Linked DNA regions of Arabidopsis thaliana. The protein of the gene in region 1 interacts with the protein of each later gene in a pairwise test. Each region holds a gene or a part of one and is shown on either strand. Other genes may lie near its edges. The genes, in order: UPS1, ACA2 and SUT4.

What was found.
Region 2: the proteins of UPS1 (region 1) and ACA2 interact in a protein complementation assay, tested with the Arabidopsis thaliana proteins (one large-scale study listed by BioGRID).
Region 3: the proteins of UPS1 (region 1) and SUT4 interact in a protein complementation assay, tested with the Arabidopsis thaliana proteins (one large-scale study listed by BioGRID).

The regions. Positions count from the first base shown.
Region 1 is NC_003071.7:1,089,903-1,099,909, forward strand, and holds UPS1 (ureide permease 1), read left to right. Parts: upstream 1-4,799; 5' UTR 4,800-5,226; coding exon 5,227-5,454; intron 5,455-5,533; coding exon 5,534-5,672; intron 5,673-5,760; coding exon 5,761-5,914; intron 5,915-5,986; coding exon 5,987-6,110; intron 6,111-6,200; coding exon 6,201-6,575; intron 6,576-6,656; coding exon 6,657-6,809; 3' UTR 6,810-7,074; downstream 7,075-10,007. Other genes in the region: AT2G03580 (F-box family protein-like protein), read left to right, coding at 3,362-3,413, 3,650-3,831, 4,274-4,385, 4,491-4,579; UPS3 (ureide permease 3), read left to right, coding at 7,392-7,619, 7,689-7,827, 7,904-8,057, 8,139-8,250, 8,342-8,731; AT2G03610 (F-box family protein), read left to right, coding at 9,168-9,344, 9,704-9,940. UniProt on the Arabidopsis thaliana protein: Proton-coupled transporter that transports a wide spectrum of oxo derivatives of heterocyclic nitrogen compounds, including allantoin, uric acid and xanthine, but not adenine.
Region 2 is NC_003075.7:17,679,710-17,691,677, reverse strand, and holds ACA2 (calcium ATPase 2), read left to right. Parts: upstream 1-4,572; 5' UTR 4,573-4,869; coding exon 4,870-5,043; intron 5,044-5,163; coding exon 5,164-5,218; intron 5,219-5,309; coding exon 5,310-7,255; intron 7,256-7,336; coding exon 7,337-7,495; intron 7,496-7,574; coding exon 7,575-7,746; intron 7,747-7,833; coding exon 7,834-8,132; intron 8,133-8,213; coding exon 8,214-8,453; 3' UTR 8,454-8,819; downstream 8,820-11,968. Other genes in the region: CYCD5;1 (cyclin d5;1), read right to left, coding at 10,890-11,072, 11,154-11,302, 11,378-11,687, 11,772-11,858, 11,939-11,968. UniProt on the Arabidopsis thaliana protein: This magnesium-dependent enzyme catalyzes the hydrolysis of ATP coupled with the translocation of calcium from the cytosol into the endoplasmic reticulum.
Region 3 is NC_003070.9:3,241,109-3,252,027, forward strand, and holds SUT4 (sucrose transporter 4), read left to right. Parts: upstream 1-2,877; 5' UTR 2,878-3,149; coding exon 3,150-3,687; intron 3,688-4,050; coding exon 4,051-4,778; intron 4,779-4,914; coding exon 4,915-4,978; intron 4,979-5,106; coding exon 5,107-5,150; intron 5,151-5,451; coding exon 5,452-5,610; 3' UTR 5,611-5,633; intron 5,634-5,719; 3' UTR 5,720-6,108; downstream 6,109-10,919. Other genes in the region: RAS1 (RESPONSE TO ABA AND SALT 1), read right to left, coding at 1-433. UniProt on the Arabidopsis thaliana protein: Responsible for the transport of sucrose into the cell, with the concomitant uptake of protons (symport system). Can also transport maltose at a lesser rate. May also transport biotin.

The DNA.
Region 1 (10,007 bases):
TTATCGATAAATATTTGAATAAATTTATATCTAACACTCGCCTATTTAGGCGAGATTTATCTAGTTTCATTATAAAGTATGGTTTTCAAAGTTAGTAACTCATGAGATCATGCAATGTGTCAAATCTAACAATCTCAGATTTTACCATGTGCCAAATAACATTTTCCTTTTATTTAGCAAAACATTTTAAAATATGTAAATTTATTATTAAAAAGTAAAGAATCTTAATATATAAAGTATGATTTTCAAATTTAGTAACTTACGAGATGTGCCACGTGTCAAATCTAACGATCTCAGATTATCCATGTGCCAAATAACATTTTTCTTTTATTTAGCAAAACATTTTAAAATATGTAAATTTATTATTAAAAAGTAAAGAATCTTAATATATAAAGTATGATTTTCAAATTTAGTAACTTACGAGATGTGCCACGTGTCAAATCTAACGATCTCGGATTTTACCACGTGCCAAACAAAATTTTCCTTTTATATAGTTAGAAAATTTTAAAATAGTAAATTTATTTTTAAAAAGTAAAGAAGATAAATATAAAAAAAACTAGGGCAATTGACAAAAATAGCACCAAAAGAAGTTTTTCTTCCAAAATTAGCACAACATTTTTAAAAGTTTACAAATAGTACTATAAATTCAATTAAACTTAACTAAATAATAAAAGAAAAATAATAAAAATGAGAGCAAACACTAATCTAATATTAAATTGAATCAAAAGTTTTTAAAAATAATGGAAATATATACCCTAAATTGGAAATAGAGAACCCAAATATAATACCACAAACTAATACTAAAATGAAAATTCTCTTTTAAATGGTGAAAATATATACCCTAAAGTAGAAATAGGGAACCCAAATATAATATTTTCAATTTATTTTTAATTATTTAGGTTGAATATATTTTATATAAAAATTGTGGTATTATTGAAAAAATAAAGGGAGATTGACACAAATGGCACAAAAAAACTTTATTATTCCAAAAATGACACTTTCTTTTGAAACTTCCAAAAAAAGCATATAAAAGTTTTTAATTCTCTATAAATTAATTAAATAATAAAGTTTTTTTACTACCATTTGTATCAATTCCCCCCCCCCCCCCAAATAAAAATGAGAGCAAACACTGATATTAAATTGAATCAAAAAACTTTTAAATAGTGAAAATATATACCCTAAATTGGAAATAAAAAACCCAAATATAATACTACAAACTAATTTAAAATGAAAAATCTCTTTAAAATGATTGAAAATATAAACCCTAAATTGAAAATAGGAAACCCATATATAATACCATAAACTAATATTAAAATGAATCAAAATTTCTTTTAAATAGTTGGAAATATATACCCTAAATTAGAAATAGAGAACCCAAATATAATATTTTAAATTTATTTCTAATTTATTTTGGTTGAATATATTTTTATATAAAATTGTGGTATTATTATTGTCCATAAAACTTGTTTTTGTGTTACTTTTAAGAATTTCTCAAATAATTATTTGAGTGCTATTTATGTCTAAAAAACTTTTTAATGCTATTTTTTTCAAAAAACTTAAAAGTGTGCTATTTGTGGGAATTTCTCAAAAAGTAAATTAGTGATAATATTTTTAGAACAAAAACTTTAGAGTAAGTCAATTAGTGCTATTTTTGGAAGTTTATGGAGTGTGTGCTATTATTGTCCATAAAACTTGTTTTAGTGCTATTTTGAAGAATTTCCCAAAAAACTATGTCTCTTATAATTAAATAATAAAAAAGATTCAAAAGTAAAGAAGATAAATTTATAAACAAATGTGTAATCAAAACAAGGATTTTGCAAAATGGAAAGATATGACACAACAATTAGACAATACATATACTGAATTTCAAATTTCAAATTTCAAATTTCAATAAGTTGTTTAATGTTTATAAATTTATATATTAAACAAATATTTTTGATAAATCTGATGTTCGTATTCATGATACATCTATCATAAAATAAATATTTTCTTTAGTTAAAATTAGCAAAACAAAACAAGGATTTTGCAAAATTGTAAGATATGACACAACAGTTATAGGTACATATACTGAATTTCAAATTTCAAATTTTAAGTAAGTATAGATTTATTTAAATTTAATGTTGTTTTGTCATACCGATGTAATTGGCTATATAATATTTTTTGAGAAATCTGATGTTCGTATTCATGATACACCTATCCTAAAATAAATATTTTCTTTAGTTAAAATTAGCAAAATAGAATGTGTAAGATTGAAATTTGTTTTTTCTTTTAAATATTATATTAAATATAAAAAGTGTGTTAACTACGATTTAGAGCTCATATATCATAAATTAAAATTAGCATTTTTTTTTTCTCACCCGCCTATTTAGGCGGGCCTTATCTAGTTAATTATAAAAAGACAATTGACAAAAATAGCACCAAAAAAGAGTTTTTTTCCAAAATTAGCACAATATTTCTGAGATTTCACAAATAGCACGATAAAGTTCAATTAAACTTAACTAAAATATAAGATTGAAAATAAAAATGAGAGCAAACACTAATCTAATATTAAATTGAATAAAACAATTGTAGAAATATATATCCTAAATTAGAAATAGATAACCCAAATATAATACCACAAACTAATATTAAAATGAAAAATCTCCTTTAAATGGTGAAAATATATACCCTAAATTAGAAATAGGGAACTCAAATATAATACCATAAACTAATATTAAAATGAATCAATTTGTTTTTAAATGGTTGAAATATATACCCTAAATTGAAAATAGAGAATCCAAATATAATATTTTAATTTATTTCTAATTTATTTTGGTTGAATAGATTTTATATAAAAATTATGATATTATTCAAAAAATAAATTAGTGATAATACTTTTAGAAAAAAACTTCATAATAAGTCAAGTAGTGCTATTTTTGAAAGTTTATGGAATGTGTGCTATTATTGTCCATAAAACCAGTTTTAATGCTATTTTTAGGAATTTCTCATTGTAAAAAGAGCATTGCAAAAATATTAAGACAACAACAAAAGTAAGCTCTTTAGCTGATATACGACCACCAACTATCTGGCTATCGAGAAGATCTAATATGCAGGGAAGTTATTCACTAGAATAATTCAATAGATTTGTTTAGTATAAAACTATTATTAGATTGAGTAAATATAAAAATAGTATATTTAAATTTGAGAGGAATGACATATGTCAAATGAATCAAACACCACTTGTCAGTTTTTTACGGTATGAGTTTGAGGGAACCTTACTTATATGTAAATGTATAAAAATAGTTAAACTTAATAGGCGTTCGTTCTAATCCCTAAAACAAAACCTTAGTTACTTTAGCGTATAGGGCAAGTAGGCGCAGACATGGATATGTCGATGAGAGAAGAGAAAAGACCAAAAGTGTTTGATAATCACGGTTGGTCCAAACTTTAATTTGTCCCGCGCGATCTTTGCAAAAGACCATGAAAATATTGATCTTTATTTACCTAAAGATCATCAAGGTGGATGCGCGTAACGATTTGATGAGAGAAGAAAACTGACCAAAAGTATCTCATCATCACGACTGGTCCAAGCTTTGTCTTGACCTTTTGCGAAAAATCATTGAAAGCTTGAACTCTATTGACTACCACCAAGCAAAACTCGTTTGCTCAGATTGGTATTTCGTTTGGAAAACATGCGTGAAACGGCCTCTGTATCCATGGCGGATCATATACTACGATGATGATTCTTCCAGTTTGTTTGATCCCGGTGAAGACAAGATTTACGGGACAAAACTCCTCGGACTCTCTGACAATAGCTATTATATGGCTAGCTCCGGAAACTGGCTCTTGATGGTAGATTCTTGATAGGTTTATAAGGTCGACTACTAGAGAAAGAAGCTGAGAAGATTGGGCTAAGCGAAGCTGAGAAGAGAAAAGAGGAAGTCAACTACTGTGTTGACTGAGTTGACTTAACAAATGAGGGCAAATACTCTTTCCAGTTAGAGGCCTTGAAACTCTTCTTCTATAAATACTGACTCTGTTCTTATCTGGGGATTTTATGCTTTTTATGTTGTGATATTTCTCGAGAGAGAATTGGCCTTGTGATGTGCCAGAGGAAGAGATCAATGTTGATCTCTTGGTCATCGGTTGCTTATATCTATGTTGATCTAAACATAACGATTCTTATCTTCTCTTTGTAGTTACGTAATCGATTCTATCATTACGATCTAGAGTTTCTAGAGTTTAAGGATTTGAAACTTTAACAAGTCTCGTCTTGATTCGAATCTTATTAAAGATCAATCTTCCGTCAATGGAGTCGTCAGTTCGCGGTGGAAAAATAAGATTCGAGCCAAGCAGATACTATAATAGACAAGGCAAGTGGGGATGGTTCGTCCTCCATCCTTTTGGTAAGTATTGCGTGTCCAAACACATGTTGGGAATAACAAGATCAGTTGGTCTTGGATAGATGAGAGGACAGTGGATTATTTAATTGCTTGGACTTTACACAACAGTTATTTGTTCACATACAAGAAAGGAGATGATTCTTGGTGGAACTGGAATGATAAGTATGGGACATCAGCTCCGATGTTTGGGGATTTAGCTTACAAGAACAGCAAGCTTTATCAGTATACTTTGCGCCACTACATCAAGATTATTGATTATTGTTACATACTTTTACTTCACCTTTTTGTTTTGAATTTTTTTTTTTATAATGATTTTAAGACAAGATTGTGTCAGCCGTTGACTTATGATCAACTAGGAACCTAATCGGAACGCAACTCGAGATTCATTTTATTTATTTTATACTACAAAATTATCTTGAAAAATATATCGAGGAAGGTGTCATATCTCATGGAATCCGAATCTGCCAATAATATGAGAGCCACTAGCAATTATTCTGAATCTCCCCAAAGGGAAGAATCAAAAGTTGTTCTCTCTTGTTCTGTCTTTGTTCTTTGTTAGAGTTAGAACAGAAGCTTCCAAAAGGTAATAATAATCTCTTTCAAGAAACTCATTATTAGTCAAAGATGTTTACTTTTTAGTACTCTCTCTGTTCTTCATTGCTTCTCTAGAAACCCAATAGATTTTGACTCTTGCCTTGCCTTTGCGGTTGTCTAAAGATCACAATCCTCAATTTGAGTTTGATCGATCATTAATGTGTGTCGAAGATCAGATAACCAAAAGAATCTTGTTTGGTGCAGAGTTTTTTTCATGATTTTTATAAGTATATAAAAGAGAGATAGAAAGATGTATATGATAGAGAGCAAAGGAGGAGCAATTGCATGTATGCTCTTGGCTCTTCTCTTCTTAGGGACATGGCCAGCAATCATGACTCTAACCGAAAGACGCGGTCGACTTCCTCAACACACTTATCTTGACTACACACTCACAAATCTGTTAGCTGCAGTGATCATAGCGTTGACACTAGGAGAAATAGGTCCGAGCAGACCAAATTTCTTTACACAGCTCTCTCAAGTCAGTCACATCTTCTTACTTCTCCTTAGACATCTTGTCGAAAACTATTGTATAACCGCGGTTTTTTTTTTTATCATAGGATAATTGGCAGTCAGTGATGTTTGCAATGGCTGGAGGAATAGTTCTTAGCCTTGGAAACTTAGCAACACAATATGCTTGGGCTTATGTTGGTTTATCAGTTACTGAAGTCATCACAGCTAGTATCACTGTTGTTATCGGTACACTCTTCTTTCTTCAACTACTCTTAACTGATTTTTTCCTCTGTTTCTTCTCTGTTCTTATGACCATTTCTGTTTTCTAGTACAGGCACAACTTTGAACTATTTCTTGGATGATAGAATCAACAGAGCTGAGGTCCTTTTCCCGGGGGTCGCTTGTTTCTTGATCGCTGTTTGTTTCGGTTCCGCTGTTCATAAATCCAATGCTGCTGATAACAAAACCAAACTCCAAAATTTCAAAAGGTTTGAAAAAGATTCATATCTATTGTTGTTTCCGTTTGGTTTGGTTTGGTACTAATCTTGATCTTGTTTCAGTTTAGAGACTACTTCTTCCTTCGAAATGGAAACAATTTCTGCAAGCAACGGGTTAACAAAAGGGAAAGCGAAAGAAGGGACTGCAGCTTTTCTCATAGAGCTTGAGAAGCAAAGAGCTATAAAGGTTGAAACATACTACTCTTCCTTTACCCTAACAGATATAACTGATATGTATATATGTTCTCTGAAGATTCATGATTGGCATTGAGGACAGGTCTTTGGCAAAAGCACAATAATCGGATTGGTGATAACTTTCTTTGCCGGTATCTGCTTTTCTCTGTTCTCACCTGCATTCAACTTAGCAACAAACGATCAATGGCACACATTAAAACATGGAGTTCCAAAACTAAATGTGTACACTGCCTTCTTCTACTTCTCCATCTCTGCATTTGTAGTTGCTCTGATACTTAACATCAGATTTCTCTATTGGCCTATACTTGGTCTCCCAAGATCTTCTTTCAAGGCTTATTTGAATGACTGGAACGGTCGAGGCTGGTCTTTCTTGGCTGGATTTCTATGTGGATTTGGCAATGGTCTTCAGTTCATGGGTGGTCAAGCCGCAGGCTATGCAGCTGCAGACGCTGTTCAGGTTTAGACAATAAACAAATCCTCTGTTCCATGATTTAAGAGTGAAATATGTTTTACTTATTATGATTTGAATATGTTTCAGGCACTTCCACTTGTGAGTACATTTTGGGGGATATTGTTGTTTGGAGAATATAGAAGATCATCAAGAAAAACATATACACTTCTCATCAGTATGCTTCTTATGTTCATAGTCGCTGTCGCGGTTCTTATGGCTTCCTCGGGACATAGAAAATGAAATTCACTGAAACTTCTTCAAGTTAAACTGCTAAAAGGATCCATTGAAGGAAGAGTTACTTCACCAATGGCTGCAACATGTTCAAGTCTTTGTTTATATTTAACCAAAGTGTTTTCTTTGTTGGTTTCTGTCTTAGGGCTTTGCTAACAACAATTGGTTGTATTGTCTTTGTTTACACATCAGAGAAAGAAAACTATAGTTTATGGCAACTTGAGATTTATTTATTTTATAGAAAATGGGAAACTAACTTCTTCCTGAATCTGGATCTGCCAATCAAATGAGAGACTAAGTTTTTTTTCTTCTGTATCTGTTGTTCTCTGGTCTTCCTCAAAGTCAAAGTTAAGACAAAAGCTTTAATAAGGTAATCTCTTTCAAGAAACCTAGTCAATAGGGAAATTTAATGGAATATAAGGTTTGAGTTTTATAGAGATCTTCTTGTATCAGCATGTGTCTTGTGTTAATGTTCTAAAGAACCTTTCTTAAGACAACTAGCTTCATTTTTATCACGAGAGATCAATGATATGATAACAGAAGAATCTCACTTCTTTACTTTGATGCAGTGGGATTTGGTGATTTTATAAAATGTATGTGATAGAGAGCAAAGGAGGAACAATCACTTGTATGCTCTTGGCTCTGCTCTTCTTAGGGACATGGCCAGCAATCATGACTCTAACCGAAAGACGCGGTAGACTTCCTCAACATACTTATCTTGACTACACACTGACAAACCTGTTAGCTGCAGTTATCATAGCGTTTACACTAGGCGAAATAAGTCCAAGCAGACCAAATTTCACCACACAGCTTTCTCAAGTCAGTTACACATACATTCATACACATATTTGTTGTTGGTTTTTGAAATGCAAAGTTTTTTTGTCACAGGATAATTGGCCGTCTGTGATGTTTGCAATGGCTGGAGGAATATTTCTTAGCCTTGGGACCTTAGCAACACAATATGCTTGGGCTTTTGTTGGGTTATCTGTCACTGAAGTCATCACAGCTAGTATCGCCGTTGTTATCGGTAAACTCTTCTCTTCAACTACTCTTAACTGATTTTTTTCCTCTGTTCTTATTAACTCTTTTGTTTTCAACAACAGGCACAACTTTGAACTATTTCTTGGATGATAGAATCAACAGAGCTGAGGTCCTTTTCCCGGGGGTCGCTTGTTTCTTGATCGCTGTTTGTTTCGGTTCTGCTGTTCATAAATCAAATGCAGCTGATAACAAATCCAAACTCCAAGGATTCAAAAGGTTAAAAAAAGATTCACTATACTAGGTCTTTGTTTTGTTTTCTTTTGGTTTGGTTTTTAACCTAATCTGATCTTGTTTCAGTTTAGAGACTACTTCTTCCTTCCAAATGGAAACAAGTTCTATAAAAGAAGGAAAAGCAAAAGTAGGGACTGCAGATTTTCTTATTGAGGTTGAGAAACAAAGAGCCATAAAGGTTAATAATAATACACACAGCATTTTCCTAAACAGAAATAACTGATATTCACTGATACTCAAGATTTGCGTTGACAGGTTTTTGGGAAAAGCACAATAATTGGACTGGCGATAACATTCTTTGCCGGTATCTGTTTCTCTCTAATCTCACCTGCAGTAAGCTTAGCGACAAACGATCAATGGCACACTTTGAAACATGGAGTTGGCACACTTTGAAACATGGAGTTCCAAAACTCAATGTGTACACAGCCTTCTTCTACTTCTCCATCTCTTCATTTGGGGTTGGTCTGATACTAAACATCATATTTCTCTATTGGCCTATACTTGGTCTCCCAAGATCATCTTTCAAGGCTTACCTAAATGACTGGAACGGTCGAGGCTGGTCTTTCTTGGCTGGATTTCTCTGTGGATTTGGTAATGGTCTTCAGTTTATGGGCGGTCAAGCCGCTGGTTATGCTGCTGCAGGAGCTGTTCAGGTTTAAGACCTCTTTTCTGTTCAATGATTTAAAGATTGAAAATAAACATTTTGGGGGATACTGCTGTTTGGAGAATACAAAAGATCATCAAGAAAAACATATACACTTCTTATCAGTATGCTATTTATGTTCATAGCTGCAGTCGCGGTTCTGATGGCCTCATCGGGACATCGAAAATGACTAAAAATGCATTCCACAGAAACATCTACAGACTAAAAGCTTCACAACTTTGGTTTATAAACTTGTAAGATACGGTACTCTTGTATGAAGGTAAAGTGAGCAACATGTTCAAATATATCATTGGTTAAATTTTAATCGATGGGTTTTGATGTTATATCGTCAGTATAAATATATACGTCTCGCATTAATTAGGGTTTCCGTGGTTCTTAACCCTAAATCCAAACATTAGGTCAACTAGAGTGTGAGGCACGTAAGCGCAGACATGGAGACGCCGAACGATTTGGTGAAAGAAGAGAAGAGACAAGGAGCTTCTGAAAATCAAGATTGGTCCAAGCTTTGTCCTGATCTTTTGCGACCGATCCTGGAAAGCTTGAGCTCTATTGATTTTCATCGAGCAAAAACCGTTTGTTCAGATTGGTATTCCGTTTGGAAAACATGCGTGAGTCAGTCTCTGCGTCCATGGCAGGTCACATACCTTAACGTTGTTTGATCACAAAGAAGACGAAAGTTTCAAAACAAGAGTCCTCCGTCGTCGCTTGAACGGAAGATATTGTATGGCTAGCTCCGGGAATTGTCTCCTACTGGTAGATTCTGGTCTCGATTTCTATATTTTGAACCTGTTAACGATCAAAACGATCAAGATTCCATCTATTAGACGAAAGGGCTGTAGGGAACACTCTTTAACGACGACAACGAAGAATGCAAAACAACAGCTGTTCTGTGGATAAACGAGAGAACAAAGGATTATTTCGTTGCTTGGATTAATTTTTCAAACAGAAATACTTGTTCTCACTCAAGAAAGGATATGATTCGAAGTGGAATCAAAACAGTGGAAGTATTTTCGATATGGCTTATAAGAACAGCAAGCTTTATCTGTATACTTTGGATCATCACATCAAGATTTATGATTTCTCTGGAGATTCTCCCAAAGAAGAAGGATTGACAAACCCGTATTCGAATCATCCATTTCGCTTCGATGAGAAACCGCAGGAATACATTTGGAAGAGGAAAATAGTGATTGCAGAATCAGGAGAGGTTCTTAAAATCTGAGCTTAAAAAAACGGAAACAAAAGGAGACTAATGAAGAGGAACTTTTGTTTTA
Region 2 (11,968 bases), on another chromosome or scaffold:
TGGTGGATTTGTGAGTTTTTATTAGTAATTTAAAAGACTAGAGAATAAAAAAAGAGCATGAAAAGAGGATTTTTTGCATCGAATTGTTGTCCCATGTTTATCTTTTGGACTTTGTAGACTGTTTGAATCTAATTGGGTTTAGTGAAAACATAATTAGAGAGAGAAGAGACCACTTTTGAACAATATTCTTCTCTCTCTTTATTTTTTGGGGCAAATCAAGAATGTGTTTTGTTTTTACTACAACCCTATAGCTAACTGAGATTTTGGACAAAAATAATGATCCTACTTTTTGCAGTAATATTTGTTTCTACTGAAAAATGTTGATTTAACTTACGAAAAATTACAGAGCAAATATATTTTCTAGTTACAAAATATCAACAATATCTTATATAATTTTCTTTATTCTACATGGGAGTGTATTAGTTAGATAGTTTGGAGGTTTCATTAAGTAGAAAAAAGTCCTGAGAAAAATAAAATAAAGAGGAAAAAGATAAGAAGGTCGATATCATGTAATGGCTTAGTGGGTTTCGCTTTTTCTTCTTTTGTTTTCACATCGATCCACCCAAGTAACCTTCCCTCTTATTTCTTCTTCAAAATAAAATTTATAAATACATATCTCTCTCATGCAATATTGTAGGAGTAGTAGCACTTACGTGGATCGTTCATCATATGAATTTGAAAACGACATGCATGTTATATATACTTACAGATATGGCGTAAAATTCCGAAAAAAATCCGTATATAATTACGATGTTTGTTTATATATAGGCCAAATACATGAAACCAACCAAGTGTTTCAAGTACTATCGATCCCAAGTCTCAACTGGTGTAAAATAAAAAGACTCTTTACGCATCCTAAATCAACAGACTAACAAAAAAGTTAGAATGTCCTACTAATACCAATTCTAACCAATCAAAACACCAAACTCATAATCGTTTTAGACATTCCGCGACTACGTTACTATCAACACTGGTGCATGAAAACTCTATTTTCTCTTAATCGATTATTTTTAAGAAATTAGTGTAAGAGTTCTGAACGCTCTGAATTTTTGACATCAATAATCAAGAAATTAAACGTTGACCAACAAAACAATGCTAATTAAAGAATTTCAGATCCAGACTAATTTTCAAAACATGTGAAAAGCTAGCATCTACAATGAACAAGTAGATTGAAATTGCAAAAGTTTCATGACCATTTTGTATGATACCTATAAGATATATACATGATATATAAATACTTAAGTGGTCACCATTTACATAGTAACATAGAGACATGTGAATATAATTATAAAATAGAGAGAGAATGTTCATAGGTGTGAGTGAGTGGGAGCAGGCGTGAAGAAAAGCTGACGGCGTGCATCAACATCATCAAAGCTCCACATTTGCCTTTGCCTCCTAACCTCTCTCCATTCTCTGCCACTATTTTTCCCTTTTCTCTCTTCTTCTCCATATATACCTCTTTACTATTTTAGATTTTCTCAAATATTACTATTTTTTTTTCTTCACATTTACCCGTAAGAAACCAACCAATGTGTCATATTCTCTTACCTTATATAAACAGCAATGTGTAATTATTATCTCAGAAATCTAGGGCATGCTTCTTTGTTTTCTTGTTCTTCAATCCTACTTGTTTCAATTTAAAACCCTCTCCACTAAGTCATGCCATTTTTGTTTAGAGTCTATATACCCTTCATTGTCCTCTCTTTGAATCTCCCACCTGAGGACTTATTATTCTCTACACTTATTTAGATTTCCCACTTTTTTGGTGTGTGTGTTCATATTTATCCATATGTCTACTGGTTTATGTATATGCGAACCTCTAATTAACCAACGGCACTTAATGCATAGGCTCATCATGATTTTCTCGTTTGTCTCGATACAAAGCATTAATCTTGTCTATCCCCCCGAGCTCATGCCCATTGTTTAATTTCGTTTAAAATCCCGAAGTCTCAAAATTGGAATAATTTGATCGCCACGTACGTAGCACCATTATAAAAAATAAAATAAAAAATCTAAAAACTAAATGATGATGTTATTTTGTATATTAACAAGCAAACCTACATTACATAACTCTCCATATTTTCTAGTATGTAGGAAAGTTTCGGACATATTTAGATATATGCTATATCATGCTAAAATTCCAAACTAATTAATGAAGAAAGTGATCAAATCTACATTATAGCCTAGGCTAGACATAATGCAGTAGATATTTACATCTTATGAGTCATCACCATCTCTGGTAGATCAAATGTTCTCATGATCAGTTTCTTCTACAATTATTAGAAGAAACCCCACGCTCTGCTTCTTTGTCCCTTTCTTCGAAACCTATCGAGTGTTGCAATTCAGTTTCTTATGTAATTTCTCGAAATCTGTTCTTGCATTCTAGGAAAAGTCCCATCTTAATCTTTTGAAGAATATATATATATATATATATATATATATATATATATATATATAGTCGATAATAATTTCGGTTATATGTGCCACTATGTTTTATACACAACACCAAACAGCCATAGCATAAATGCATAATTACATTGTTTATGTATACAGTAGACCCTAATTTGTTTCTCGCATATAAACCCATATTCATTCGCTAATTTGGTTGTTATGCATGCCTGTATGCTAATTAAGATTTATATACTTGGAGAAAACATCTTCCCCATGGTTAGGATTGTTTAGCCCCAGAAATGAACCGTTAACTTATCTTTTTCGATTAGTAATGAAATGATCAAATATTTTTACAAAAATATTCTACTATCCTTCAATTAAGCCATAGACAAAAAAAACCTGTAGGTCTCCCATCAATCACACAAAGGTAAAAAAACAGACTTTTAGGTGACCAATTTCGTACCATTTTGTAAAATCTAAATCGGAACAATGTAGAGCAAATGATGTAGAAAATATCATACATTATTAGAACCAACTCAATCAAACCTAACTCAAAATAATAATTTTGACATGACTATTCCCACTAAAACTACATATAAGTGACACCGGCTAAAGTTTTTTAAAAATTGTACGGCATACCAAAATCATGGAGGTTGATATGATATGTGTAGAATCATCCGAAAAATATATATTTGTGAATTTACACAAATTTATGGGTCATCAACGTACGTCTAGACCTCTTTCAAACAACTTTTTATGATTGCAAAATGTTATTTGGTTAATGGATTTCGTAACACAACAAATATCTCATCAACGAACTTCGTCCACCACTTGAATATGAAACCAAGCTGGTTTTCTTAGTCCCATATATAACTGAATTTTTCCTTCCCTAGTCACACTTTTAGCGATAGCAGGAGCAGTGACATCAGTCCGAACCGCGACCAAGTGAAATTACAACCTTCAAAACCGTTGCTAAACTGTGATTTTTTTATTTTTTTGGTAATGGCTAAACTGTGAATTTTATCCAGCAGATCACAGAATCTTGGCAACTTATGGGGTAACGAACTAGCTTCCCATGGCAGAGTGACAATCGGAGACCACAACCACACGAGCAACTTCAACGTCATCCCACAGCTGTTCCAATGCCTGTCCAACACATAACTCAGCAGAATCGCTTAAAGAAAAAAAATGATTAACAGTTTTATTGTTTATTTTTCTTTCTCAAAAGCATCCCAAATATTTTAGAGAAGCAAACATATACCAGAGCCCAAAATTTGTTAGGCCCTAAAGGCCAATAAAGCAAACAAAGCCGTGTAAAGAAAGATCTTAATAGCTTTCAAGGCCTATAAAGGCCCATTCTAAGCCCAAATCTGCATGTCCAACTTTTTTGAAAGTGTCATTTTCCATGAAGTCAAGGTAAACGCATTATTCAATTGGAGAAGAATAAAAAACACTAGTTATTGAACTAGAATGATGAACAGAGACATAAGCAATTAGTACCAAACGAATAATAAAAAGACATAAAGCAATCAATGTTTTTGAGTCCAAATAGAACCAATGGGCTTGGTCCAACGTGGCGTCCCCGAAGTGTCGGGTTTTTTGCAATAGTCTCTGGGTCAACGGTCCTCCAATTTCTCTTTATTTATATAAACGACCCCATTTCTTATTATTGTCAAAAATCACCGCACTTTTGTCCCACAATTGTCATTCAATTTGGTCAAAGTGAAATCAACGTGAGCAGCCAAACAACAAAAAACCAAAGCTACGAAAGGTAAACTTCTTAGAAAAATCTTGCAAAATATGGTCCAATTAAAACTCTCTGTATATTATATTCCATTTTTTTCTATACAGTATATATTATATTGAGTAAATCTAAAAATTACGTCATTTACTCATCCATAGTATTTTACTAGTTTTTAAACCTTTTTTTTTCTGTAATCTTCTAATTTTTTTAATTATAAAATGTCCACATTCATTCACAAATTTGGGAATAAAAACCAATCATAAACTCAACAATAATAACATAAACGCGTAATGTACTCGTCATGGCCTGCATGAATGTTTCAAGAATGATTTAACGTTCGTTATAAATGGAAAGTAGTGCATGTCTTTATTTAATTATTCTCTTCAATAATAAGTCGAATGTTTTTATTAAAAATGTAAGAGAAACTTTGTTGGACACACGAATTTAAAACGAGTCAACTCAGCTTCTCATCACCAAATGTTAATAAACTCAACGACTCGGTCAAATGCTTAAGCAAAAAAAACTCAGATCTTTGAATAAAAAAAAACTTTACCTTTCTTCTCCATTAAAAGCTTCCGATTTCTCTTCTTCACCCACCAAAAAATAAAAAGGTTCCTTTTTTCTTCTCCACCAAATATACAGAAGAATTTGAAACAGAGAGCCAAACAAAAAAGCCATTGAAGCTGGAAGACAAAAAAAACAGAGGAGATTGAAGAAGAAGAGGGAGTAAGAAGATGGAGAGTTACCTAAACGAGAATTTCGATGTGAAAGCGAAGCATTCTTCAGAGGAAGTGCTTGAGAAATGGCGTAATCTCTGTGGCGTTGTTAAGAACCCTAAACGTCGGTTTCGTTTCACCGCTAATCTCTCTAAACGCTATGAAGCCGCCGCGATGCGTCGCACCAACCAGGTTTTGTCTCTTTTCTTTTTCTTCTATGTCATCGTTGTTAATGATTTTGTTGAAATCTTCGAACTTTTAGATGGATTTTGTGTATAGCGATGAAGGATCTTAAAAACTTTCTATATACAGGAGAAATTAAGGATCGCTGTTCTTGTTTCCAAAGCTGCTTTCCAATTTATCTCTGGTGAGTTTATATGTGATCAAAGTTGCTGATTTGTGTCAAAGTTTCGATTTTTGTTTGTTTGTTTGTTTGTTTATGTGAGTTTTTGTTGTAGGTGTTTCTCCAAGTGACTACACTGTCCCTGAAGATGTCAAAGCTGCTGGCTTTGAGATTTGTGCTGACGAATTAGGATCAATTGTTGAAAGTCATGATGTTAAGAAGCTCAAGTTCCATGGTGGAGTTGATGGGCTTGCAGGTAAGCTCAAGGCATCTCCCACAGATGGCCTTTCTACTGAGGCTGCTCAGTTATCCCAAAGGCAAGAGCTTTTCGGAATCAACAAGTTTGCAGAGAGCGAAATGAGGGGTTTCTGGGTGTTTGTATGGGAAGCTCTTCAGGATATGACTCTTATGATTCTTGGTGTTTGTGCTTTCGTGTCTTTGATTGTTGGGATAGCTACTGAAGGATGGCCTAAAGGATCACATGATGGTCTTGGCATTGCGGCTAGTATTCTCTTGGTTGTGTTTGTTACAGCTACTAGCGATTACCGCCAGTCTTTGCAGTTCCGTGATTTGGATAAAGAGAAGAAGAAGATCACTGTTCAGGTGACAAGGAACGGGTTTAGACAGAAACTGTCGATTTACGACTTGCTTCCTGGTGACATTGTTCATCTGGCGATTGGAGATCAGGTTCCTGCTGATGGTCTTTTCCTCTCGGGATTCTCTGTGGTGATAGATGAATCGAGTTTGACTGGTGAAAGTGAGCCTGTGATGGTGAATGCGCAGAATCCTTTCCTTATGTCTGGAACCAAAGTGCAAGATGGATCTTGTAAGATGATGATTACTACAGTTGGGATGAGGACTCAATGGGGAAAGCTAATGGCGACTTTGACCGAAGGAGGGGATGATGAAACTCCACTGCAGGTGAAACTCAATGGAGTTGCTACCATCATTGGCAAAATTGGTCTTTTCTTTGCGGTGGTTACTTTCGCGGTTCTGGTGCAAGGAATGTTTATGAGGAAGCTTTCAACGGGAACTCACTGGGTCTGGTCTGGTGATGAAGCATTGGAGCTCTTGGAATACTTTGCTATTGCTGTGACAATCGTTGTGGTTGCGGTTCCTGAAGGATTGCCTTTAGCTGTGACTCTAAGTCTTGCGTTTGCCATGAAGAAAATGATGAACGATAAAGCTCTTGTGAGGCATTTAGCAGCATGTGAGACTATGGGATCTGCAACGACGATTTGCAGTGACAAGACTGGTACACTCACAACCAATCACATGACCGTTGTGAAGTCTTGCATTTGCATGAATGTGCAAGATGTAGCAAATAAAGGTTCTAGCTTGCAATCAGAAATCCCGGAATCTGCGGTGAAGTTGTTGATTCAATCGATTTTCAATAACACAGGAGGCGAAGTTGTTGTCAACAAACATGGGAAAACCGAGCTTTTGGGGACGCCAACAGAGACTGCTATATTAGAGTTGGGGTTATCTCTTGGAGGTAAGTTCCAAGAAGAGAGGAAGTCTTACAAAGTGATCAAAGTTGAGCCTTTCAACTCCACAAAGAAGCGAATGGGAGTTGTAATCGAGCTTCCTGAGGGAGGACGTATGCGTGCTCACACGAAAGGAGCTTCCGAGATTGTTTTAGCTGCTTGTGACAAAGTTGTAAACTCGAGCGGTGAGGTTGTTCCACTTGATGAAGAATCAATCAAGTATCTGAATGTTACAATCAACGAGTTTGCTAATGAAGCTCTTCGAACTCTTTGCCTTGCTTATATGGATATTGAAGGCGGGTTTTCGCCGGATGATGCAATCCCGGCTTCTGGATTTACTTGCGTAGGGATTGTGGGAATCAAAGATCCCGTACGTCCTGGAGTTAAAGAATCTGTTGAGCTTTGTCGCCGTGCTGGAATCACTGTGAGGATGGTTACAGGAGATAACATTAACACCGCGAAAGCAATTGCTAGAGAATGTGGGATTTTAACTGATGACGGTATAGCCATCGAAGGTCCCGTATTCAGAGAGAAGAATCAAGAAGAGTTACTAGAACTGATTCCAAAGATTCAGGTGCTTTTTGTTTCATGAACTAAAGACTTAATTTTTTTTGTTTAGTTTTTGAAACATAACCTTTCCTATGTTCTTATACAGGTGATGGCTCGTTCTTCACCAATGGATAAGCATACACTTGTGAAACAGTTAAGGACAACGTTTGATGAAGTTGTTGCTGTCACTGGAGATGGAACAAATGATGCACCTGCACTTCATGAAGCTGATATTGGACTAGCAATGGGAATTGCTGGAACTGAAGTGAGTATATGATAAGATTTTGTTATGTCATTTGTGAGAGCTAAAGAATCTAAAAGTTTCTATCTGTATAACCTTTTAGGTGGCGAAAGAGAGCGCTGATGTCATCATTCTCGACGATAACTTCAGCACGATCGTCACAGTTGCTAAATGGGGACGTTCTGTTTACATAAACATCCAGAAATTCGTTCAGTTTCAGCTTACCGTTAATGTTGTTGCACTGGTTGTTAACTTCTCTTCAGCTTGTTTAACCGGTAGGTTTAGTAAGAATACCAATTCAATGTCTCGAAAAGAATCATTTTGGATTCCTTGTTTGACACAGCTCTTATGATAATCTTCAGGAAGTGCTCCTTTAACTGCTGTTCAATTGTTGTGGGTGAACATGATCATGGACACACTTGGAGCTCTTGCTTTAGCTACAGAGCCACCAAACGACGAGCTGATGAAGCGTTTACCTGTTGGAAGGAGAGGCAATTTCATCACTAATGCGATGTGGAGGAACATTTTAGGACAAGCTGTTTACCAATTCATCGTAATTTGGATTCTCCAAGCCAAAGGGAAGGCTATGTTTGGTCTCGACGGTCCTGACTCAACTCTCATGTTAAACACTCTTATCTTCAACTGCTTCGTCTTCTGTCAGGTAAAGAACAAAGATTACTGATAACAATACTCGAGCTATAAAGATAGATTCTTGACATGACTTTGGTTCTGAAAACTCCAGGTGTTTAACGAGATAAGCTCGCGAGAGATGGAAGAGATCGATGTTTTCAAAGGAATACTGGACAATTACGTCTTTGTGGTTGTGATCGGTGCAACGGTTTTCTTTCAGATCATAATCATCGAGTTCTTGGGCACATTTGCAAGCACAACACCACTCACAATAACACAATGGATCTTCAGTATCTTCATAGGTTTCTTGGGTATGCCAATCGCCGCTGGACTGAAGACGATTCCCGTTTGATCGTTCCATCAAAATTGGCTCGAAACCACTCTTTAAAGATCTCTATATTAGACCAGTTACTTCAAAGTTTAGAACGGACAAGTCTTCTAACAAAGTTTTTGCATTATGCAATGACTCTGTTTTTTATTCTTGACTTTTATTTTTCAGTTTGATTAGTGCTATTAAGGACAAATATCTGATTTCCTCCATTTTTGTAAAACTCTCTGTATCTTTGAAATGACACTTCTCTTTTCTTTCTTTTTCTCATTTTTGGAATCTAAATTTGGTCTCTATTGAATGACAAATGCAAAAATACAGAAAAAGGACATTGAAAAAACAGAGGAAGCAAAAGGTTAAAATAAGAAAAATGATTATTTGGGTACAAAATTGTTATCTAGCCAGACTGTAATTTGATATACTTAGAAAATCTCTCAATGAAGTCATGGCTTTTAGTGGGAGCCTCTTCTCCTGACATCATATCTCATCAGTCAAAACTGATTCCATATAACAATTCCAAAGCCTGTCAATCTCAAAACTGTAATAAATAAGAAAGACTCTTCTTTAAGAAAAGAAAAAAACATTTTTAAATGTTATCAATTTAGGATCTCTATGAAGTAAAACCATTTTTTAGATTGAAAAAATGAGTATACTATAGTCATTTGTCCCTTGTAGGCGTATAGGTAAATTATAATTTCTATGTGAACATTAGACCGGTAAAATATTCTATAACTAATTGTTTAAGTTTGTGATCGTGTGAATAAATGTTCATAAATAAAGGACTAATTAATATCTAGAATGAAAATAGAATTTACATAAAGATTAGTTATTTTTGTGATATTTCAATCTCACTAGTCATTAGTTTATCCATCTCCTAACCAAAGTGAGAGTTGTAACTAAATTGTGTTACCCGTGAATCTCACATATGTCTACACAAAACCCAACAGAAACAAAATGGTTTAACTCAATGATAATAAGCAAAAAAAAAAAATAACAATTGGGACATACTAATATTCATTGAAAGATAGGCAACAGAAAATTCAGAAGCATTAACTAGTTCTTGGTGAAGTAAAGCTTGACCCTTTATGCTTCTTGATTTGTTGAATAATCTCTTAGAGCAACAAAACATTGGCCTTAAACCACACACACATTATCTTTAATTATATTCTGTCAGTACTTTATGCTTCTTAATTTGTAAGAATGCATTTTGTTTGTAATAAGTCTTTTAATTCGTTGCTAATCATTTTGGAATTAAAGCTTTAATTAATGGAACCAAAACTTTGGATCCCAAGTTGTATTGTATGAGACAGTTGTTTCTCACTTAAACAAGTCGTTGGGTTGTTGTTTCTTCAGTCTATTACACATATGTTTTTTTTTTTTTTTCTCAACTGCATTTCATTGAAAATATTAACAATAATCCTATAAACACACACAAAAAAAACAATCTACCTCTATATGTACGAGTACGATGCACTTTTGACTTGCGCGTAGAATAGTACGTTAACTTAAAAACATCACATGCAAATTTCTGTATAAATTGGGGTTTCATCTTTAGATCCAATCATTGATCCAAAGTACTTCCACAGTTCCACTACAAGTTGTTGGTTTCTATAATGCTAAAGAAAACTTATTGGAGCAAAATATATATCCGTTTTAGTTTATCGTGATCGACTGATTGTCAATTCGTAAAAGTAGTTATCTATCAAAGATAAGTAACGATGATTTTTCCTAAACAAGAAAATTTTCTTTTTATTTGATTAATTTTTTTCCAAGATATTATATATTGAGATTTGAGAACATGAAAAGATCACGAAGGACTTTGTGGAATGGACATAACATGTTGAGTAGCATACAGATGGATTCACTTTGGAGATGACCAAAAGTGTCAATAAAGATAAGAAAATAAATATATTTATCAAATATAAAATAATTTTACCTTACCTTAAAAAGAGTTTTTTCATTTATTATTTGCTATGAATGAGCCCTTTTGAAAGTTAAAGAGGTTAAAAAAATGGACTTTGATGCCAAAAAAAAAAAAAAATCTATGACAAAATTTTGTAATATCAAATGAAAAAGAAATTGCAACATAACAAATAAAAAAATAAGACAATAAAAAAATAAAAGAGGATGTGAAACCAAATCACTGGCACTGCAACTATTGGCCTAAAACTATTCACCCTTTCTGTTTTTCTTATTTATTTACATTCACTCCTCATATTTCCTAGATTCTCTCAGAGAAGCCCCTAATGTTTTAATAGTCACATTTCATCCCCAAGAAATCCAAAGACCTTCATACGAAGAACCTATATGAGTTACTTCATAAAAATTGAAATAACCGATGTATTCAGACCATTTTTTCTCTATAATCAAATGATTGAATATAAAACCAAATCAATATGTTGCCAAAAAAGAAACCAAATCAATATAAGCCAAAACTTGAAGAAGAAAGAAACTCTCTCTTCATAGCCTACGCATTCTCTTGGCTGGTGGAGAACTTTGATCAGAATCATCAAAAGACAATCGGCGTTTAGCGCCACTTCCTGAAGCCGGCGGTTCGCGAGAAACCGCTATTTCCGGTGGAGGTGTCATATGTTTCCTCTCCTCAATCTCTAGCGTTCTCTGATAACACAAATATACATTTTCCTACAAAACCCAACACTCCTAAGATTATGATCATCAACATCAAACAATCAAAATCGAATAAAAAGACACCAAGATTTATACATTCTCATTAGAAGTCCACCAAGAGATCGAACCAAACTTGTTAGCTATCTCTTCTCTAGTCAATCTAATATCCGATGAGGTAGAAGAAGAAGCTAGCAATGTAGTAACAGCAGCAACAACAAACTGTCGATACTCCGTAAAACTTATCTCTACATGGAAACAAAAATGTGATATCAATAAATGCTTTGATCTTGAGAAAAAAATGTGTTTCTTAATAGAGTTACCTTTAGTTAAAGCAAGAAGAGAATCAGAGGATCTTAACAACACCAAGTCTTTAGAAACAGAATGGTTGTCCTGAGAGATTTTAGCAAGGAAGTAGTTGAAGTAATGAAAAGGAGTGATCAAGTTCATCTTCCAGTCCAATGTGGATAGAATCAACAGTTCAGTTTTACGAATGACATCGGGTTTGAAAACGAAGTCATGATCTTGAGGGTATTGTGATAAACCAGGAACAATACGTTCCTCCATTTTAGCAGCTAATGATAAACAAGCTACTGATAACAATCGCATCGCCCATGTTTCATCTTTCTGCAACTACAAAGAAACCATCTTTAAGCTTTAATCTGAAGATAAAGGTGAGATTTTTATAGATAAATGAAACTGGAGATTGAAACTTACACCGATGAATCTTTTGTGGAGAAACAGATCGAAGTATGAGATTGCAATGTAAGCTGTTTGATGTTGGAACCCAAATCTTGTTCTTGTCTGAGATTAAGACAAAGAACCAATCAATCAGAGATTAAGACAAAGATCAAAAAAGGGAAAATCTTTTTGAGATTACGGACAGTGAGAATCCAATCGATGGCAATCAATCT
Region 3 (10,919 bases), on another chromosome or scaffold:
CGCTTTGTTGCACGAGGGCGAAATCTCGCATAACTTCTCTCTCTTTCCTCCTAGTCTCCGACTTAAGACTCGAGATCCGGTCTTTCTGGTGGCGCGTGAGGTCGGCCACGGAGACCTCGGTGAGTTTAAACACAAGAGAAGGCTTGAAATCGCCGACCCATAAAATAAGTTTAGCGTAGGAGTTAAACCACGGTGGGCAGAAGAAAGTGAAAACGTTGTCCCCGGCGAGGGAAACGGAGGCGAATTTCTCTTGGTAGTATTGAAGACAGTGAGATAGAAACTGGGCCACGAGAGATTGTTGTTCTTCGAGAGAGATACGATTAGTTTCATCCAAGGAAGAAGCACACATAAGCTGTTCAACGAAATACCTGTGACGGATTAACCAACCATCAACGAAGATAGTGAAGCTTTGAGAGCTGCTAGTGTTTGGCATGTTTCTTATGTTTGGAGTACTCACTAAGTAAGTATGGACTGTGAGTGTACGTTGTGCAAGAATGTTTATATACTACTACATTGGGCTTGACCAAGAAAAATCTTTTAGGAATTAATTTACGATATGTCGGTCTATCGACGATGTGTCGGCGGGCGAAATGGATTTTTGTGACTTTTGTCTTGTCGGAGTGAAGTGTAATCAGAGCAGCGTCTTATCATCATTTGCTGTTGTTATTCAACTCTGGTTTTAGAATCAAGTTGGGTTAAACAATAGTATAAAATTTTAATATGGATGAAAATAAAATATAAATTATCCTTGGTAATTATTGATTATAACCTATAGAATCGACAAAAAGAAAGACTATAACCTAGAGAATTTTTTTTTTTTTTTAAAACAAGTGTTCATTAAAAATCTTTAAAATATTTAGTCTGTTTTATAATTAAAATGTTTATATCTGAAATTGTATCTATCACTACTAGTTCCAGTTGGAATTATATATCTGTCAGGGTCGCATCTCGATATTATGGAATGACCTAAAATAACATCTGAAGAGGAAACCGACACATGTTGGTAAAATAAGAAGGCACACGTCATGTAAAGAAGATGACATATGTCAGGAAAGGAACATGTCCTTACAAAATAGAAACCAAATAAACCAACAGTTCATAAATGCTCCAGTTATGCCGCGAGCCATCTTTTCTTCTTTACTAAGAAAATTTCTACATTATTTTAAGATTTTTCTTTTCCATGTAGTTGTCTCATACTTCCTTCGAAAAGATCTTTCTCTAACTTCAACCTTGGGGATCGAGCAACCATATTTCAATCAACAGATTCTTTCATCACTCTAATAACGGACAAAAAAAGAAAAGATGTCAAAAAAAAAAAAATTGGAATATGCACGTTGATACTATAAGTTCATTTAAATCAGTCGTTAGAGTAAACCTTATTGAGAGTTCAAATTCATTTAAAAACCTGATGAGATAATTATATAATTTCTTATAAGATTTTTTTTTCTTGTAAGAATTTAACGAATAGAATTTTTCTCTCTATTACTTAAAATTCCTCCTCGTCAAAAATTGCAAATGCTTGGCAGTTTTACCATTTTCTCAGAACTACCGTATGAGAAATAAAGTACGTATTAAAAAACAATACAAGCTTTAAAGATAAAAGAGGCAACAAATTTTTTTGACAAAAAAATTAGATGAAAAGAAGTGACGACAAATAACTGAGAAAACACGTTTTGCAAAACTAAAAAAAAAAAAAAAAAGAGAGAGTTGGAAAATGTTTGGAGCTGGTGGGCATTAGTTGGCTATGCAACGCACGGACGCGGATACTTTTCAACTCGTTGCTTACGCGGCCACGTTTTCGTCACAAACCGTGTTTCTTTTGCGGCCTTTTAAGTTTTAATCAAACATTTTTGTTTTCATTTGAATCTTTTTTTTAAGGCGGTTATACGAATAAAATCATTAAAAGGAGAAACGGGCCTTCATGTTTAGGTTTTTGTTCTTCCTCATTTGGGTTATTTAGCTTATTGGTTCAGCCCACAAGAGTTTCCTTCAATGGATAGGGCCTTCAGTTGCATGCCATCATCCTTTCTTGTTTCTCTATAAGCCATTTTTGCAATGAGAATTTCTCAATTTCTTATTTTTGCAATAAAATCATTTTGCCTTAGATGATGGTGGAATCATCCGTTTTTCTTTATTTTGACCCGGTGAGTAATTGAACGCAAAAAATAGTCCAATTATTCAAAACCTTACAATTTCATATCGCCATAATAAACCTAAACATGATTCGAGTGAGCAACTACATAAAAAGGGGAACGAAATGTTGGTACAAAACTGAATTCCAACCCAATCAAGTGCATACTAAACTATTGAGCAAAAACAAAGATAAAAATCAGTTCACCTACCCTAATTAAAACATGATTAGGCCTAAAAGACTATAAGTAAAGATAAAAAAGATGCCATTTTAGAGTACGTTTTGGTAAATTGGCGCCATCGTGTTATACGTTTAAACCGTATAACCTGAATCATGCAGCACGTGTACGGCTCACATTGGCCCAAGCTTGATTAACAAACAATAACGTCATTTTCGTATTTCAACAATTTTGATCGCTCAATCCTTTCGACCTAATTTCCATATTAAGTAATTTATTAGTTAAAACAACGGACTCAACCAAATTACATATTAAGAGAATATTTGAAAATTGTCTATGTAGATGAACATGTATTTGAAAATTGCGTAAGCACACTCTTTCTCTCTCTCTTTTTTTTTTTTTTTTTTCCCCCTCTTCTTTCTTTGAATAAAGATGACATTTTTTTCTGTTCCAAACACAAAACTGCATATTGATAGTGTTATTGAATACTCAACGTCTCTTCTTCCAGCTTACGTAAGTGGAACTTACTTTTTGCCCCGTGATCCAACAGAAAATGACGAATGCTCCCTCAAAATCATTTCGTTTCAACAAAAATATGTATTTTATCCATAGAGAAACAACAAACCTTACACTATATACCCTCTTTTAACGTGCCCACTTTTCATTATTTACACAATTTCCCCAACAAATTTAAAACAATTTACAAAAAGCACTCAACTTTCCTAAAGTAGATTCCTTTAGTCCAATGGAATTCTTACAACATCTTCTTCTTCGCCACCTTTTTCTCTCCACTTTAAGCTTTTTCACTCTCTCTACGCCACGACGACTGTGAAGCGAGAAATGGCTACTTCCGATCAAGATCGCCGTCACAGAGTCACTCGCAACCGTCCACCAATAGCTCGACCCTCTACTTCTTCATCTCGTCCCGTTGTATCTCCTCCTAGATCAAAAGTTTCGAAGCGTGTGCTTCTCCGTGTAGCTTCCGTCGCATGCGGGATTCAATTCGGATGGGCTCTTCAGCTTTCTCTCCTCACACCTTACGTTCAAGAGCTGGGGATCCCACACGCTTGGGCTAGTGTGATTTGGCTTTGCGGTCCTCTCTCTGGTTTGTTCGTGCAACCGCTCGTTGGGCATAGTAGCGATAGGTGTACTAGTAAGTACGGTCGTCGGAGACCGTTTATTGTCGCCGGAGCTGTGGCGATTTCTATCTCTGTTATGGTTATTGGTCATGCGGCGGATATTGGATGGGCATTTGGGGATAGAGAAGGGAAGATTAAGCCGAGGGCGATTGTTGCTTTTGTTTTAGGGTTTTGGATTCTTGATGTTGCTAATAATATGACTCAAGGTCCTTGTAGAGCTCTCCTTGCTGATCTTACTGGTAAAGTTCCTGACTTTAGTGTTGATTGGGTCTTCAATTTGAAATCATTCAAATGTAGTAAATTTGGGATTCTCGTGATTATACACTCACATGCAAAACATGAAAATGCATAAATTTGTGATTTTGGATACAATTTGGGGTTATATAATTACCTAATTGGTTCCTAACAATCAAAAGGTCCCTTCTTTGTTTCTGGTCGGTGGCTTATCGTTGAGTCACAGAGACTTTGTTTTTTCTCTTTCCCTTGAATCAAATTGTGGATTTTGGTGAAGTTAATCGTAGCCTACGATTGTGTGATAACCTCATGGAGTGAAAACAAAGATATGTTGTGTTTTAATTCTTGTCCTATTGCTTTATTTTCAGAGAATGATAATCGCAGAACCCGAGTTGCAAATGGCTACTTCTCTCTCTTTATGGCTGTTGGCAATGTTCTTGGCTATGCTACTGGATCATACAATGGTTGGTACAAGATCTTCACTTTTACGAAGACAGTTGCATGTAATGTGGAATGTGCCAATCTCAAGTCTGCCTTCTACATAGATGTTGTCTTTATTGCAATAACTACGATCCTAAGCGTCTCAGCGGCTCATGAGGTGCCACTTGCTTCATTGGCTTCTGAAGCACATGGGCAAACCAGTGGAACAGACGAAGCTTTTCTTTCTGAGATATTTGGAACTTTCAGATATTTTCCAGGAAATGTTTGGATAATCTTGCTTGTTACAGCATTGACATGGATTGGTTGGTTTCCATTTATTCTGTTTGATACTGATTGGATGGGTCGAGAGATCTATGGCGGTGAACCGAACATAGGGACTTCATATAGTGCTGGGGTCAGTATGGGTGCACTTGGTTTGATGTTGAATTCTGTTTTTCTTGGAATCACTTCTGTGCTCATGGAGAAACTTTGCAGAAAGTGGGGGGCTGGTTTTGTTTGGGGAATATCAAATATCTTAATGGCTATTTGCTTTCTTGGAATGATAATCACCTCATTTGTTGCGTCTCACCTTGGCTACATTGGCCATGAACAACCTCCTGCCAGCATCGTGTTTGCTGCTGTGTTAATCTTTACAATTCTGGGCATTCCATTGGCGGTAAGTTTACTCCTGTAATTCTGCTGTCATGTTACTTACACTATTACTTATGATATTTTGCCTGCTCATCTGTAACAACATGATGAAATTTATTTACGCTTTCGCTGTAACTAATGCTATTGCTACTCTTCTGCAGATAACTTACAGCGTCCCATATGCGTTGATTTCCATACGTATTGAATCCCTGGGCTTAGGTCAAGGTGTGCAGGCTTATCTTTGGGTGTTGTTTCTTATAAAAGTTCTGTTGTGTTGTTTCTTAGAAAAGTTCTGCTCAATGATTTTACTCTACATATGAGTGTTGTTTCTTATAAAAGTTCTGTTGTGGCAGGCTTATCTTTGGGTGTGCTAAATTTGGCGATAGTCATCCCACAGGTACACTTCTTTCAACCATCCTTTTAGCATTATATTTGCCGCAACTCAAAATCATATTCTTCTTTGAATGTTTCTGCCTGTAAAAGGAAGTCTATAAGCATAACATGCAGCAGAGTTACTGCATTATTTGTCAATTGTCATTAATAAACGATTCGTTTTTTTAGTTATGGTCATTGGCCAGTGATGAAAGTACACTTTTTATTTCTCTATATTAGTTGATTGATGAATTTCTTCCCTATGTTGGTTATGGTTTTTGGCATCAAACTCAAATTCTGTTGTTCAATCATTTATGTGTTTGCAGGTAATTGTGTCTGTTGGCAGTGGCCCATGGGATCAACTGTTTGGAGGTGGGAATTCACCGGCACTTGCAGTAGGAGCAGCTACAGGCTTCATTGGCGGAATTGTAGCTATCTTGGCTCTTCCACGGACAAGGATTCAGAAGCCCATCCCTCTCCCATGAGATTCTCTCTTTTGTTATATAAGGTAATAATGTCACAATTCTTTCACAAAAAGTACATAGTAAGCACTTAAGTTGTCACTGATTATTAAAAGCGGCTAATGCGAAATAGATGAGTGTCAAGCGAGGAACGCATAAGGGGAGTGCTTGGAAATGGCAAGGAGATGGAACACTTAATGTGATCCTTGTCGAAAATTCGTGCAATGGCTTCTCGTGTGACTAACTTATTTGCAGCTACTAGGACTTAATCCCCTCTACTTTGGGGACTATGATCCTTGTATACACGAGGCACCATAGAACCAATGAAAATAATACATCATTCAGTTTGTGAGGTATATGCATCTCTCCTTTATTGGAAGTTCCAGTTCGGGATCTTCTCTGTTTTTTTTGTTGTTGTTGTAAATTAATGTAAAAACCTGTGTACAACAGAGTGTTTGTAAGGGCCCCTGAGTTCTGTAACTGTTTATAAAGTTCATTTTCTTTAGAATTAGTTTGATAAAGAAAACCTGAGATCCAAAAAATTTACATGATCTGTGTAGCAAAAGTAGAAAGGAACCATTACGAGTACTAGTAGTCTCTATAGTAGCAGTAACCACCAATAGTCAGCAATAGATTAGGATGACTCTTGGGAATATTAAGACCATCTCCAATGGTTAAGAAGTAATTGGTTCTTAACCAAACATCTTAACAATTATTTATACTAAAATTTTGAAACATGACATGTAACTGTTTTTTTCACTCATGAAAACTTCTTAGCTAAGAAGCAAATCTTAGTTTTTAATTTATTTTGATTTAATTTTCAAAGTTTAATTCTAAAATATTATTCTAAGATACACCTAAGATAAACCATTGGAAGTGCTCTAAGCCTAGTAGGAAGGAATAGTAGCAAATCCCAGTTTTCTTCTTGAGTGAGATGTTTGAGATTGAAATTACTGTAATGCTATTGAGATTCTGTAGGCAGCGTATCAATAATTGAGAGAAATAAGTAGATGCTAATACAGCTTGAGCAATACTTATCCTTGTAAAATTGTGAATGATTCCAGAGTTAAGTACTTTGACCGTCCAATAGAGATTGTGTGAGAGTATGTATAACAGATATCATAATTGGTTTAAACTGAAAATAGAAAAAAAGAAAATAAGCTGTGGAGTAGTAATATGCCTAAAGAATTTAGAAAAAGGAATACACGTGTGGAGGAGGAGCACAAGGGACCTAAAAAGTCTGTTGGGATTTGGAGAGGCCCTGGCTAATATCTAAGAAGTGATATATAACAAAGGACAAAAACGTGGTTTACTCTCTGTCTGTCACCGACTCTCTCTATATTCAAAGTCAACTAGGGCGGCTTTCACACCTCCCTGCTTCTAGACGAATGGCAAATCTTATCATCTTTTTTCTATTAACAAATTCGAGGTTAGAGTCTCTAGCTGCATGCACTACGATTTCAAAATTCTTAAATCTCGTTTTCTAGTATAATTAAATTTGAAGTCTTTTTTTATACTAACTTACTACTAAGCATGCTTTTTATCCTTCTCTACGATATAATCTAATACGTTCTCAACTACACATAACCTTTTTTAAAAGTGTATCTAAAATCTCAACATACTGATTTAAGTATCACTCATTTGTGTATAACAGTTGACACTTTTGAGATTAAGAAATAAATAAATTAAGATGGTATTAAAGTTTAATACCAGTAGTTGAAATAGAAAATTCTGAAAGAGTAATACTGTATTTTCTTCTTATTTTGGGGGTCAACACAGATCAAGAAATTCAAGATTAAAGTTTTATGATGTGTATCTATCAAGAATTTCTTTTTTTATGATGAGTACTACTGATCATGGTTCAAGAGAAGATGTTGAGGTTAGTACTCTTCACCTTCAAGAACAAATACATGAGATTCTCAACAACAACCAAAAAAGAAGCATGAGATTCTCACGTGGTTAATTAATTGCATAAACGTACGTAATTAGTATTGCAAGATGTTAAGATTGTTAGAATGCAAGTGAAAATATGATGAGATCCTTGATTTTTAACCCCGCAGTACATTTTGGATGTGTAGATAATCCCCTTCTTAATTTAAAATATGATCATTTTAATATGTGTAGAAAAGTGGTTATTTTGGTATATTTTGTTATTGTAAAATGTGATCAAATCCTTCTGACGAAGAAAGAAAGATGAATCCCCATTCTCTACCTTATGTTATATTTAGATTGTGTTCTTTTTATGAAGAATTGGGTTGTTGAAAGCATTCACTGTAGGCCATTTGATTCATCCCTTGTCGCCTTCGGATTTACATAAGTGGAGAGTTTTTTCTTCTTCTTTAATTAACCTTTTTAGCTTTAGCTGAAAGAAAATAAAGTAATTGCCTTTTTGTATGCAACAAAGCAATTAGCTTTTACCTTTCAAGATTTTCATATCACAAGAAAAGCTAAGTGAAGTCCACCCTGTATTTTTTGACAAGTACATTTTATCGTCACGTCCATGCACTTGCACTATCATATAACAAAAATAAAATAAAAATAAAAGTAAAAGAATGATTTGTCTTTTCTTAGGCTTCAATTATTGGATAACTTATTTCATCAAAAACTTTTTCTTTTCTTTTCTTGTCTGTTCTCTAGTATTGCCCTCTTTTTCCATGAAGCTTCGAACGCTTTGTTGACTAGTAAAATGTGAAGACTCCATATTCGAAATAATTCATTGACCAAACAAAGATTCGTCGATTGATAGTTACGGTATGGTTAAAATTATCAATAAAGATCAATCTCTTAATATATAGTTTCACATCATGCAATCAAATTTTCTTTCACCGTGGACTCGTGAGAGAGAAAAAAAAAGAAGAAGCTGTGGTTACTTATTTGTACAGTCTAAATTTTTTTTTCATATATTAAATGATCCATGCGTACGTTAAAATTTGTCCCAAAAAAAAAATGTCATAATCTTTTTTATTTATTAATATAGATAATTTTTTATCGCGCCTTATCGTCGGTAAATATATACGTTTTATTTGATTTTTGTTTTAAGCCCTAAGATTTTCAGGATAATATAAACCAAGATGATTAGAGCCAAATGAGAAAACTGCTCTGGCTTAATTTTTTTCTTTAAAATCACTGAACTAGGTTTTGGTTGTGTAATTCATTGAAATTTTTTCATATCTGTCCGAATTGTTATCATGGTTGTGGATCTTTCTTTTTAGTATATAGCCTAAGAGTAATCTATTATAGTAATTCTAGTTTTACGCTTAATTAGACCATCTATATATATTATTTCTAGTTACGTCACCTAATCATAAAAGACTCTACAACAGCAAGCTAGGGAAACACAGTAGCAAAGAAAGTTTTTTCTTACTGATTTTCAAAGGTTTGAAACACATGTGTTTGTTTGGACTCACTAGTGTCTTCTGGCGTGGAATCAATTATTTATGTCTCCACCTAATCAGAATATGACAAATGAATACTCGCAACATAAACATAAAAATAACGCTCTAATGATAATTCTTTTTTTTTATTGTTTTATGTCGGAAAAAGAAGAGTCCACCGAGAAAAAGAGCCCTCAAACAAATTTGAACATGGCAATTATGGAGCGGCAGAATTTAATTATTAGTCCTATAGTCGATATATTATTGCATTACCTAATGTGTACACACACAATATAAGGTTGGTTAATTTGGTAATCAAACTAAAGATTTAGAATGAAAATTTCCTTTTAAAAAAATAGCCATTTGTTTTGTTTTAAGATAAGAGCTAAGACATATAACTACTTCCTAATTAACTTTGGAAAAAAGTATATTGTCGCAAGTTGCAACTCTTGTGCCATAAAAAGCAAGTGTTCAACACATGTTTATAGTGATGCCTCATCAACAGCTCAATTAAATTGAAACGTAAGTATAATACACAATCATCTACATATTTTTGCAGACATTTTAGCAAATAAATCGTAGAGTTGAACTTATTTACAACTCAATGTCATTAGCATTAAATCTTTTTTCCAAAATAATTCATTTTACTTTAAATTCTTAATTTAAATTGTCAATCACATTATCAATCAAATTTAATCCAAACAAACTTCCCATCAATCCTTTAAAATTAGCATAAACGTATTTGTTAACAATATTTAAAACAAAGTTTTTGTTTAAATAAATATTATTCTTACTAAACGTTTTTTGTTTAAATAAATAAATCCTGTATTTGAACTTATTTACAATTTCATGCTACTGGCATTAATTATTTAGGAATGAAAATATTTAATTAAAGATTTAAATCTTCTAAATCCTTGCTTTTAGATTTATTATGTCATTACCTAAAAGGCAAAAACTATTAGTTTTTTAAATATTATTATTTATATTTTAAATTTTTTTAACATTACTAATATTTAAACTTATAAAAAGTTTAATATATCAAAAAATCTTAACATCATTATATAATATATAGAGTTTTTAAAAATCTCAAATTTTTTTCCGTCATATTTTGTGATTCAAAATTTAAAAAATGAACATATATTAACCAATTGGCGAAAAATATGTGAGTTCAACGTCCCATTTTGACTAAAATATTTAGAGAATGATTCATAAACATATCATAAATAAGATCAACATTAACAAAATAAATGGTTTTTTTTTTTGCGGGACGAGTTTGGCAGGACGTTACTTAATAACAATTGTAAACTATAAAATAAAAATATTTTATAGATAGATATAATATATAAATTTTTATATATATTAACTTAAAAAAATAAATTGTCCTGCGGTATACTGCAGATTAAAATGTATATTAATACTTACGACGGACGTGTACAAAATATTATATAGCCCCAAAAATAGCGCTGCATATAAAAACCACATCTACCTAAGCCTACCATGTAGTGTAGTTGCATATAAGACAACTATAAATTAATAATGTAGTTTAATATTTTTTTTGGATTGGTTTCTTTGTTTTTGGTTAAGTTTTTTTTTCTTGGGGGTATAATGATTTTAGTTAAGTTTTGTTTAAGTTTCCTCAATGACAAAGGTACAATTTCGGCGTTACGTCTAGTCTAAAATAATCTATTAACAAAAGAATGTACTTAATTAGTCAATACTCTACTCAATAGTAGGATATCGTTTCAGTTTTGTATGTGGATTTTTTTTTAAATTTTTGAAAAATTCTATTCAATTTCAATAAAAAATTTCTGAGGATAGTCAATGAAAACCAAAAAAGCCATAATAATAATAATTATAAAGTAATATATCAAAACGCTCATATAATATTCCACATACATTTACTGTATAATCAGAAAACTAAATAGTATAGTTATCAAGGGTCCCTCTTAATAAAACCAA